3 linked regions of the Xenopus tropicalis genome follow. The main gene of each other region encodes a partner of the protein of the gene in region 2 in a complex. Links are inferred from orthologs where the notes say so. Each region holds a gene or a part of one and is shown on either strand. Other genes may lie near its edges. The genes, in order: wasf2, nckap1 and abi1.

The links.
Region 1: nckap1 (region 2) and wasf2 share a complex: the UniProt entries of both Homo sapiens proteins name them as parts of the WAVE2 complex. The link is inferred for Xenopus tropicalis from reciprocal best matches to the Homo sapiens genes NCKAP1 and WASF2.
Region 3: nckap1 (region 2) and abi1 share a complex: the UniProt entries of both Homo sapiens proteins name them as parts of the WAVE2 complex. The link is inferred for Xenopus tropicalis from reciprocal best matches to the Homo sapiens genes NCKAP1 and ABI1.

What each region holds. Positions count from the first base shown.
Region 1 is NC_030678.2:78,053,827-78,058,194, reverse strand, and holds the start of wasf2 (wiskott-Aldrich syndrome protein family member 2), read left to right. Parts: upstream 1-1,477; 5' UTR 1,478-1,505; intron 1,506-1,508; exon of another isoform or gene 1,509-1,525; intron 1,526-4,368. UniProt on the Homo sapiens protein: Downstream effector molecule involved in the transmission of signals from tyrosine kinase receptors and small GTPases to the actin cytoskeleton. Promotes formation of actin filaments. Part of the WAVE complex that regulates lamellipodia formation.
Region 2 is NC_030685.2:62,024,936-62,028,584, forward strand, and holds part of nckap1 (nck-associated protein 1), read left to right. Parts: intron 1-530; coding exon 531-662; intron 663-1,364; coding exon 1,365-1,583; intron 1,584-2,317; coding exon 2,318-2,448; intron 2,449-2,888; coding exon 2,889-2,986; intron 2,987-3,649. UniProt on the Homo sapiens protein: Part of the WAVE complex that regulates lamellipodia formation. The WAVE complex regulates actin filament reorganization via its interaction with the Arp2/3 complex. Actin remodeling activity is regulated by RAC1.
Region 3 is NC_030682.2:24,956,284-24,960,704, forward strand, and holds the start of abi1 (abl interactor 1), read left to right. Parts: upstream 1-1,528; 5' UTR 1,529-1,619; coding exon 1,620-1,736; intron 1,737-4,421. UniProt on the Homo sapiens protein: May act in negative regulation of cell growth and transformation by interacting with nonreceptor tyrosine kinases ABL1 and/or ABL2. May play a role in regulation of EGF-induced Erk pathway activation. Involved in cytoskeletal reorganization and EGFR signaling.

The sequences.
Region 1 (4,368 bases), on a different chromosome or scaffold from region 2:
ATATTGTTATTGGACTTTTTGGAACTGTATATTGCATTAATTTCTTCCCACAACAATGCCCCCTTACACATCTTCTTCCCCTGTGCACATCCACACTGCCTCATTCTTCCACCATCATCTATGGGTATATTCACTAAAGGTCAATATGAACTAACCCATGCATTATCACCTGAACTAGGAGGTAATATCTCATCTCTTGGTTCATCAGTGCAGGTCTACATTTGTTATTCTCATGGGTATTACCTCCAGTCAGATAACAATGTGATTTTACACCTAAGGGCTTTGGCACACGGGGAGATTAGTCGCCTGCGACAAATCTCCCTGTTCGCGGGCGACTAATCTCCCCGAAATGCCATCCCACCGGCGAAAACGTAAATCGCCAGTGGGATGGCATACGCGGCGGCGCGATTTCAGTGACATCGTGGAAGTTTCCTCTCAATAATGCTCACCTGATTTAGCCAGCTAAAACCAGCAAAACAATGCCCATGTATGTCATCTATTTTTAACGATAAACTACTTTTTTATGTGTAAAATACAAATTTTTGTTTCAAAAACAGTTTATTCCAAAATGCTGGGGCTGTGGCTAATGCCTATTAATGTTAATACCTCCCAACATTAGAAAAATATAAAGAGGGAAAAAAGAAAATGGCGTGTGTAGCGCCCATTTTTGCAACCACACCCCCTAAATATCACTCCCATTTTGCTAAAAAAAGAGGTGAAATTGCCCTTTACGTTAATAAGTCTCAGTTCCCCCAAGAGACATGTTTAGCTTATTGGTTACAATTGTATCTAAGTGCAAGTGTAGCTTGTTAATTTCTGGGCTCTCTGCCAAAAGTTACTTTTTAAATTAAGTTTGAGAAGCATTGTATCTTTTTAAGCTTCAGTGCAGGAAATCAAAGGGAAAATAGGAACTTTCAAAATCAGGACAGTTGGGTGGTAATAATAATGTGTATCTACTGCAACTCAAAAAGGTGTAAAATCTGGTGACATCTCGTTTTGTTAGGTGCTCACATTATAAGCGATATTAACTTATAAAATAACGCATCTTTACACAACAGTAGAACGTTTAGAAGCACCAGTTTCTCCGAAAAAAAGACCTTGAACCTAAAAGGTACAGCCAACAAGGAAATACTTTAAGCAACTGGAAACAAGTTGGTGACCGTGCCACTACAGCTTACACTTTACAAGTTCATAACACATTCCATAAGTACCTAACTTTTCTGCGTAAAAGTTTAGTTAAAAAAAAAAAATTAGTTTATTACGGCACCGAGCACTCAGCCAATCAGTGAAATAAAGGAAGAAAAATGCAGCCTACCAAAAGCCGAGCGGAAGCACTTTCATCCAATTAAAGATAGGAGGTTAGTGAAAGGAACCAATCTGTGAGGAAGAAACTGCAGCCGAAGCCAATCTTTGCTTTGCGTGGGCGGGACTAGGTGGGGCGGTGCCCGAGTTTGCTTCTGTGATACTAGTTCCCGGTGTCAGAAGCGGAGATCCCCCGGGTACAGGTAAAAAGATTCTTACACTGGTAGAATGTATAGCAGGATGAGCACTGCAAACTTTACTTATACTCTTCTAGATATTGTGCTATATATGGTGTGGCTGAAAAAGGAAACTTGAAATGCTTGATATTTGTGAATTGCATGTAATTACCGAAAATGTAAGTTTATACGATAGTTAACACTGTAATGGTAACAGTGGACAGGAGAAATAACCTCTTTCGCGTTTCTGTAGTAAAGTGTACATGGCATTTCTACTAATGCAGGTTCTTGTAAGTATTGGGAAAGTGCCTAAACAACATAGAAGTAGTGGCCTACATAAAAGTATATAGTGCAGCTGCTGGCTGCTTTGTATGTATGTGATTCTGCTGGACCTACACCTATTTGGGCCCCAGGATATTCTTATTAAGGCCTTTTATTTTCCATCACAAAGCTGGCAGTGACATTAGAAGTTACAGAGGCCCACAGCAAAGTTATTTTAGCCTCCAACCCAAACTTTGGAAATATAGTTTTCATAAACATAGATTAAAACTACTTATCAGTCAGTGTTCCACTGGGCCTTGCATCCTGTCCCTGAAAAACTAGGCCAACTTTTCCATATGCTTTTGTATATACATTCATTTAAATGTTTCAGTGGTTTTTTGAGTTATTTGTAAATGCAATTGCTTTTGAAAGCAGTATCGGTCTGGTTGTTTATATTCTCCGCACTTTTGATTCTGAATAGAAACAAAGTAGCAGCATCAAGTCGGTCAACAGAGATGAGCTGAAGGAGAACTGGCTTCTTCTACTTAGTTTCAAGAGTCAGAACCAGAGAACTGATAGGGATTAACAAACCTGCTTTTAATAGCAAATACAAAAAAACCTAAACCTATGGAATATCTTTAATGTATAGTGAAATGTTGCTTAGAATTACATGTTATTTTATTATGCAATAAATGTTTTTTGGGTAGAAAACCCCTGTAACTTGTTTCTTATAAGGAGACCCAAATTATCCAGAAGTTAACCTTATGACCCAAGAACTGGTTTAGAACAAATTATGCACCTTAAAGGAGACATATCCTATAAAAATTATGAATGTACCAGTGAATTATACTCCTCTAGATATAGAAGGATTGTGCTTAAAAAAGTTGTGTTTCAGACTGATTTATTGAAAAATTCCACAAAAACCCCACTAGCCCCGCCCATCTGTGCCACTTCCTACTGGCTGAATTCTCTGGATGAGCAGGGGAGCCGGCAGCCCTCAGTACACTGCACTGTAGGATAGGAACCAATCAGCAGCTAGGCTGACCTGATAGGGAACTGAAGCCTGTCTTTGCTTGTGGGAGTGCAGGGCTGTGATTGGCTCTCCCCGTCCTACTGTGCTTCTGGCAGGGACCGTTAGGACACGCCCACTCTTCATTGCACACTGGACGGAGAAGTGATAGGATCTATAGGGAGCTCCAATAAAGGGGCCATTGTTACAGATAGGATTAATGTTTAGCCCAAAGGGAAACCAGCACCGTATATTATTCATAATTGCCTACAGGATAAGGGTTTTTCCCATTTATCCAATATGTCTCCTTTAAATACGTTACTGCTGAAGGAAGACTTTTTTTTTTTTTTTATTAAAGATAATATTGGTGGCCAACTCTAAATAGCATGCGCCAATATTAATGTCTATTAATGTCCATTGTTATGGATATAAAGGATTTCTAGCAGTTTCCAGGTACAAATCTCCTATCTATTTATTGAAATAGTTTATTACCACTTATTTACTAAGATAGGTTGATTACTTAATACTGGGACAACCACCATCAGTAGTCTTTATAACAGAAGTGTTTTTTTTTTTTTTTTTCTTTCATAGAGAAATTTATAAACCACGTACTTTGTGAATTCACTTGCTAGTAATTGCGATCACTTGGCATTGATCAAGGCAGTTAACTGACAAATAAGCCCAGATCATATTTGCTTGGTGTCATTGCTACATGGCATAGGGTATAGTTTTCCTGATGCAATTAAAGATATTGTCTATGTTCTCCCTAGATGCATAGGCTTCTGATCAGTAGTTTACTTCTCATCCTTGCCTGTACCCAATAGGGCAGTTGTGTTAACTACTACTCTCTATGTGTGCATGATTTGCACATATTCATAACTTTATTGTAAGAAAGGGCACATTTCAAGCTAAAGCTTTTGTTACAGGATTTGATAGATTTAGAATTTGTTCCATATGGCTGTTGTATGTGGTAGGACCTTGCAGGCCCATGTCTTGTAATATCCATATTAAAGAGGTTATTCACTTTTAAATAAACTTTTCATATGATGTAAAGAGTGATATGTTTTGCATATTGCAGTTGGTCTTCATTTTTTATTTGCAGTTTTTAATTATTTAACTTTTTGTTCAGCAGCCCTCCAGATTGGAATATCTGTTTTATAGGGTCCAATCTAACCTAGCAACCAGGCAGTGGTTTGAAAAAGAGATGGATATGAATGTAGGAGGGCCTAAATAGATAGATAAGAAATACTAAATAGCATTAACAATAAATTTGTAGCCTCACCAGGGTCAGTGATTCCATTTGAAAACTGGAAAGAGTAAGGAAGGCAAATAATTCAAAAACAATCAAAAAAAAAAATTAAGACCTACTGAAAACTTGCTAGGAATAAGCCATTCTATACATACTAAATGTAAACCACCCCTTTAAGATCAATGTGTAGTGAGGCTTTACTGATCATTTAATTATTCTGAATTTGTATTTTGGTGTCAATGTGACTGCTCTTTAATGTTACCCATTAACCAGGAAGGCTTACAGTAATAGGTCAGTAACTGTTACATCGTTTCTATTTAGTGCACAGATAGTTGGACTATTTTTTTTTTTGTTCAAGTTATTGGTTCAAC
Region 2 (3,649 bases):
TCAGGCTGCACTGCTGTAAATACCTACATGGTGTTGGAGTAGACTACACTTCATCCAGCATACTTTCAACTTGCTTAAAGGTTGCTGAGCATTGAGTCCTCAACCTTTTCTAACTAGAAGTTTAAAAAAATTGTATGAAATTGCTGTTTTGTAGGATTTTAAAGGAGAACCAACATCATTGGTACATTATAGGACCCATGCACCACAACAAGATATACATCCGCATGCCAGAACAAGGTCCTGCTCCCTTGTAGCTGATGAGCTTTGTAAATTCTGCTCTCTGCCATCTAGGTGCTTATTGCAGAACATGAGCTCTGGAAGCCATACTGGTCCTGGCTTTCATTGCCCATGCTACTCTTCTGCAGTGAGCACTTTGGAGCCAGAGACTGGAAATTAAATGGCTAGACATGGTGGCGATTAAACTCTCTGGAATAATGATATAGGTTTAGTGTTAGCCCTTTAACAAGGTCTTGTAGTTGGCCTTAGGACAAGTCACAGACTTATAACTGGTGTTTTCCTCTTTCTGTCAGCCTGGATAAATTGCACACTGCACTTTCAGAGCTCTGTTTCTCTATCAACTATGCACCAAATATGGTTGTATGGGAACACACATTTACCCCAAGAGAGTATTTGACGTCGCACTTGGAAATCCGCTTTACCAAGTAAGTGTCTGAGCTTCTAGATGTACAGAATTTTTTTTCTTGCTTATAGTAGCCAACAGATAACATTTATCTTTATGAATAATCTTAGGACCAGAAGAGAGAGATTTTATAATATTATAATAAAGCAATGCACTCCAAAAAAATTTTTTTTTTTCAGTAGCCCAGGTGCTACCTCAGTATGTAATAGAAAACATGACAGGAGCAGTCAAGGGACTGTCAAAAAAAAATAAATAAACTGTTCATATAGTGTTGGGCAATACAAATTTTGGTTTTAGAGACTGGAGTATTAATTCCAGGGGCATCTTTTTGTCTCATGGCAGGAGCAACCCTAACTGTACTCTGGTATGTAGCCCTTGCCACAGACACAAAGGCTCATAGATATTGGCATGGCCCATACGGGTCCCATTATGGTAGCGTGGCTTTGTGTTTGCAACCCAAATGCACTAACCTTGAATATGCTCATTTGAAGAACAGGGTGATGTGCTGGTTATAGGTTTAAGCACATCAAGCCAGTAAATGGGGAATTTACTTGACAGTCTGTATTGGCGACAATGAATTATAAAATAAATACAGTGCAGGAGTTTCCTACTATGTAGTAGAAGTCCATTTTTGCTCACAGCTTTCTATATAGTAACATTTTGTTCTGTTGTCAGCCTTTGCATTCTTACTCAGTATGTGCTGTTCTGTCTTTCTTTGCCACAGGTCTATTGTTGGCATGACCATGTACAATCAAGTCACTCAAGAGATTGCTAAACCTTCTGAGTTGTTAACAAGTGTAAGAGCCTATATGACTGTACTCCAATCAATAGAAAACTACGTGCAGATTGATATCACAAGGGTATTCAACAATGTTCTACTTCAGCAAACACAACATTTAGACAGCCATGGAGAGCCAACAATCACCAGTTTATACACTAATTGGTAAGCTTTCAGCATAAGAGTTTCTTATCCAGATATTTCCTTAGAGTTGCTTGCCTTCCTTGCTGGTTTCAGACATGGAATTCCTGCTATATGGATAAAGAAAACTGGCACTAAGAAACTGCTAGTTTAAAGGATCATACCAAAGGACATCAGCAATGAGATGTGCCAGTGCTTTTTGTTTATCCATGTAGCTCATTCCTTAATGAAGCAAGTAAATAAGATCTGGTCACGACAGAGTTTTAGTGTGACCCTAGTGATATCTATAATATCTTTTAAATGAAACATTGTTTGCACCAGGACAACAGCAGCAGACTAAACAGTTGTATTATTATTTGATGAACTTGATTGAGGAAATATTTGGGGAAATGAGTCAGAAGAAAGTAAATGTAGGACTGGTCAGTCTGGGGATGACTTTGATGTATTTGGCTAGCTTGTATATATTGCAGTATATGGACAAACAATCCCTGTTGCACTCACAGGAATTTTTCACACACCTGGTGTCCCTGACGAAAAGTTCCAATCACCTCTTGTCTTTGGTGTTTAATGCATGTAATACTAAAGTTTGAAGTGGTAAGCTTGTGTTGCATTGAGTAACATTCACAGATGAATAAGTAGCCGTTTGACATATGTGAAAAAACTGTTACATGTTGTGTATGTCAGTCAGCTAGGCGAAACAGCTTTCCATTTGTATCTGAAAGTGTTTAGATTATTAACTTGCGATTTATTCCTTCAAGGTATTTGGAAACACTACTGAGGCAAGTAAGCAATGGACATATAGCATATTTCCCAGCAATGAAAGCTTTTGTAAACCTGCCAACTGAGAATGAGCTGACGTTTAATGCAGAAGAGTATTCCGACATCTCTGGTGAGCCCAACAGAATTTTTCACTGTGTAGGCATTGATCTTATCATTTGTACTGCAGCCACGCTTTTGGCCATGACTTGGAAACCCTGGCTTTGGTGGACATAGAGGTCAAAATGCCATGTCATTTACAATGCCAAACATTTCACCATATGCCATTAAATTGTCTTGTGGCAAAACATCAAATTAGTGAGCCTTACTTTCCATTGAAGTCTTAAGGTCACATTCTTCCAAGGCATCTGGGTACAGCCTTAATGATAAACCTTATGCATTTATCACTATGAATGAAGGCTAGCCCTGCCTATGTATTTCGGTGTGTATTTAAACAACATTTGAAACATAAATATGCAGAATCAAATATTTATTTCTAAATGATAATCAGGGGTCTTGGATTTTTTTTTTAAAATGCATCCATAACAATACTGATCTATCTTCATTTCACAGAAATGAGGGCATTGTCTGAGCTGCTGGGACCATATGGCATGAAGTTTCTCAGTGAAAGCCTCATGTGGCATATTTCCTCTCAGGTGGCTGAGCTGAAGGTAATATATAATTTTGATTTTATGTTGTATAGTAATTTTAAACGTGGGTACATACGTTTATATACATATGTATACCATATACACAGGCTCCACCCTAGGCCACTATACATAGTATTACTTATGAAGGCCATGTGTTTACCCTGCTGAGCTGGTTTGTGATTGGGAAAGGGTGGATATGAGGAAGTTAGAGATTGAAAGTAAGCTAGAATAGAAAAGAGGGTGGTGAGGAGAATTAGAGAGGGAGAGATACACAGGTATAGGAAGTGAAATATTTAGAAATTAGAGGTGTAACTCCTGTCGCACCTCTAATGTTGCAGATAAGCAATGAACTTTTTTGATTTTCTTTACTTGATGCAAAATATGTATTTTAATATCTTATGTATTTTAATATCTTAACTTACAGTTGGCTTTGTTATTCAGTTTCATATTTTGCCTTATCTTTATACATATTTTTATTTTATTTTCCATCTCCCCTTTTGTAATGCAAACTGCCTGGTTGCTAGGTAATTGAGGCCCTGGTAACCGTATAATGCTAATCATATAACATAATTATAGACCCCTTGTTGCACTGAAAAGGCAGAAAGACTGAAAAGGCAGACAATTAAAAACTACAATGCTAAAATCCCTACGTTAATGGTTCCTTGATGTCATTTTGGAAATAAC
Region 3 (4,421 bases), on a different chromosome or scaffold from region 2:
AACTATCCAGGCCAGCGGGATGCGCTGACTGCAGCCAAGCGCTCGGGCTCCGTCTAGTCCTGTGGCTCCTGCTTCTTATTCTGCTCCTCGTATGGCGGTGACAGGCCCTTTTATAAGTTTGCGCCCGTGCGTATGTGTGACGTCACACGTACGCACGGGCGCAACCTTATAAAAGGGCCTGTCGCTGCCATAGAAGGAGCCGCATAAGGAGCAGGAGCCACAAGAAGCAGCGTCTATGTGGGGCACTGTGTATGGGGGGCATTTACTATTGGAGGTACTCTCTATGGGGGCAATTGGGGGCTACTGTGTATGGGGGGCATTTTCTATTGGAGGTACTCTCTATGGGGGGCATTGTGTATGGGGGGAATTTTCTATTGGAGGTACTCTCTATGGGGGAAATTGGGGGCTACTGTGTATGGGGGGCAATGTGTATGGGGGCTACTGTCTATTGGGCCATTGGGGGCACAATTTTAACTATTTTAAAAATAGGGTGTGGAAATTGGGGCGTGGCCACAAAGTGGGCGTGGCCAAACAAATTTGCCGTGCTGCGCGCACCAACTCTTTTTGTCCCTCTTTTCATTTTTCAAATGTTGGGAGGTATGTATATATAGATATATATTTGCAGCTTAATCCAGAGTTAAAGCCAAGGTGGAGGGGGGGTTCTTTTCTCTTCTGTGATAGTTGAGTACGCAGACTGTGAAGGTGGTCTGGGGGCCGGTGCCTAGGGCAGCACCGAGCCCGGATAGAGCTGCTTTGTGGTAGCCTTTCCCAGGCCCCGTCCTGTGGTTGGGGGTGATGACATGACTGGTCAGGCTACAGGCCAATCAGGGAGAGACACCTTATTGTGACTGTGCTTTCAAGATGATTCAGATGGGCCAGAGAGGTTTATAATATTAGCAGCAAGTGTATTGCCTGTAATAATAATGGCCCAGCCCCAGCTGGTGTGCTACTGGCCCAGAGGCAACCCTAACCTTACCGCTAACCTTGCCCCCAGTACAGCCACACTAGCCCTGTGCCATTACCCCAAATGGTAACGTGAAATCAGGTCAGAACAGGGTTACCACCTGGCAGCTGCAAATGCCAATGTTATAAACATGAAAATCAATACGATTAGAGCAGAGCTGGTATTTATTGTCAGAAAAGGTGGCAACTCCCAGCCTGTAATATGCTAGGGTTGGCTCATCCTCATAACATGCGCTTGGCATTAAAACCCACATAACATTTGCGTGGGTGCATGTAACGGCATAGTACTTCCTATAACAAACTGTATGGCCCTCATAGCCACAAGCTTACTTAGTCATACTATAAAGCACAGAACCCTGTATTGCTACTACACAGCAGCCCCACTGTGAGGAGTTTCTACATATCCCAAAGTGCTTTGAGTGGATTTCCTGGTCACGGCGCCCACCCCACAGCAACTCCCAGAGTGCTCTGCGCAGGTTTCCTGGTGACAGCGGCGAGCTGAAGGGGCGAAGCGCTTTTGAGGGGAGGAGCCTGGGGTGAAAGCGAGGCTGGGAATCCCAGAATACCAGGCTTGAGCAGGCAGGCAGCCTGGCGGGTGTGGACTTAGCTGTTCTTCCCTCAGTGTAAAAGGAGGAAGCGATGCGCAGGGCTGGAAGATGGCTGAGCTACAGATGTTACTAGAGGAGGAGATCCCCGCCGGGAAGAAAGCTCTGATCGAGAGCTTCCACAACCTGACCCGGGTGGCCGACTACTGCGAGTCCAACTATATCCAGGTAAGCGGCGGGCTGGTCAGCACCCTGTATTCGGGCGTGTTTATGTCAGTGAAAGGGGAGGGGGGGCAGGAAGTGGGGCATCCTGAAACTCAAACATATCCAACTGGCGGCCTTGCTAGGGCTGCATATAGACAACAAGCGGCTGCCAGGGGCTCATGGGAGTTGTAGTTCGCTTACAGTTGCGGGGCTACAGATCGGAGCCCCCTTGGAGGGAGTACTTTCGGTATGGAGCCTGTGTCAGTGCTAGCGGCTGTGGGTGTATCCCGGTTCAGCCCATAGGGTGTTGCCCTTTTTTTTTTTGTTTGATTGTGAGTCACCTCCCAGAGATCTCCCCTGGGTGCTGTAAGGCAGGAGGGTTATGGAGCGAAGCCCTAGGCACATGTCTCTGGGGCTGCCCTGCTGCCATTAATATGGGGCTTTGTGTCTCCTGCCTGTCTAGACACAGCCGGGAAGCATTGCCTCTCCCTGGGAAGGACTTCAGGGAGCCTTTGTCTAGCAGCTCAACTCTAGGGTTCCTCTACCCAGGGGCTGCCTTTATAACAAAGCCCTTACACCTCTAGCCTTCTGGCTTTCCATTTATCATTATTCTTATAATATTCAATGGTGCCAGTGCAGGGATGGGGTTAGGCAGGGCCCTGTGCCCTGTATTGGGCAGTGTTTAAATGGCTGATGTGCACCCTTCTATTGTACAGCGCAGCAGTATATGCCGGCACTTCATGTTACTATTAATGATATAGATACACACAAGTAAGAACACAAGGGTGTTAGTGTCAGTCTGTCGCTTCTATGTGGCAGGAAGGGCTCTGTAGTAGTATTGTATTACAGGAACTTTCATTCTGTTGGTCAGCATTTATGAAGGTGATTTCAGGTACAGAATGGTCAGATACTCACCCTGCCTTATATCAGGGGAAATAAAGTGCTGCTCTGTATGCTGGAACCCTGCTGTCCAGGTGCCTGTTTTCTGTTGCCTTGAAATTAACCTTTACTATGGCATGGAGAGTTTTTATTTTATTTTTTTATTGTAACTTTTTATTTTTAGTTATTTTTACATTGCAAAAGACACACTGTAGTTGGCTTTGTGAAATCGCATACTTCAAGTACTTCGAAGTATACTTCGAGTATAGCAGTGCAAAGTGTATTTATGTTGTCCAGACAGTGATAGAAAAGAAAACAACAACAATATGAAAAACTGTATAAATGTAATAATAATCAGTTGGATGCACAGTAAGAGGGACAGAGGGGTGTGAGTGTGACAGATCGGTTCAAAAGAAGAACTTTTCAGAGTTTTTTAAGGGATCATGTTGGGCTGGGTGTAGGTAAAGCAGTCAGGAGGCCAGACCTTGTAGCTCTCACAGTGCCCAGACAGCCATATACTGAGCTATTGTATTCTGGAGAGTTGCTATCCCATATTCAGTGATCCTATTGGTACTAACTGTTTCTTCAGGTAGGGTTTATTCGCTGCAGTGATCTGTCTGATATGTTTGTTTTTATTTTTCTCTTCAATAAAATTTCAGTTACAAAAGAAAAAAAAAAATCAGGTAGGGATGGTGAATCCCAGGGTTTTCCACTTGGATTCTATTGGTAGTTGTGCAGCTGTAAGAATAGGATTAGCCAAAATGTGGCCGCTTCTGCGGGCATGGATAGTTTTGTGCCAAGACGATTTGTCATTTTTTTTTATTTCACAGTTCTCAGGCTGGGAATTGAGGCCGCTTGCTAGTTGCTTGGGCTTAATTACCATGGCAACCAGGTGACAGCTTGGAATTCCGAATGGAAAGTGGATATAGGGGGCATTATCAGACAGATAAGCAATAAAAATGTAATAGCAATAGATTTGTGTCATAATCCACATGTTAATGGGTTTTGGTGTCCCAGACTCCAGCCTTCTTGATCTGCTGCTGAGGAGAATAATAAATCAAATTAGTCTGAAATTATAATCATGTTACTTAGATTAGGTCCATGCTAAATGTTTATTTAAAGGGGAAGTTTAATGAAACACATCTTTTACTTTCAACAAAGTAAGAAATCACCCCCATAACTTTGGGATTGAGCATGTATGTTATGGGGGTTGTTTCTTCCTGAATACAAAGTGCCATTTATATTGCTATAAGCTAGGATTATATTATTACAGGTATGGGCTGTATTAATATCACACATTTATAAAGTGCTGACATTCTGCAAGGATGCAATATTACAAAAGGCACAAGAACTGTTCAGAAGCAACAAAGCTACTGTGGTGCATGTTGCAATTATTTGACATGTGAATAAATCCATCAGTTCTCTTTTTGAGCCAATGGGCTGCTGTGCCATAGAGCTGAATGTGAGGCTTTGCGTCAGACAGCATTGTGGAATGACAGCTGTGGCATAGCCTCTGCTTGATGCGAAAGCCTTTGCAGCTTTCTTGTAAAATGTATTTTTGGCTCAGGGATACAGTTGTATGCCATTCAGTATAGCTTAATGTTTGTAAAGAGGTAAGCTAGATAAGGGATCTTTCCATAACCTGGAGCATTAAAGGGGTTGTTCACCTTTTAAATTAACTTTTCGTGATGTAGAGAGTCCTATTCTGAAACAATTTGCAATTGGTTTTCATGTTTTTATTATTTTTGTTTTTGAAATATTTAGCTTTTTATTCAGCAACTCTTCAGTTTGGAATTTTAGCAGCTATATGGTTGCTAGGGTCCAAATTAC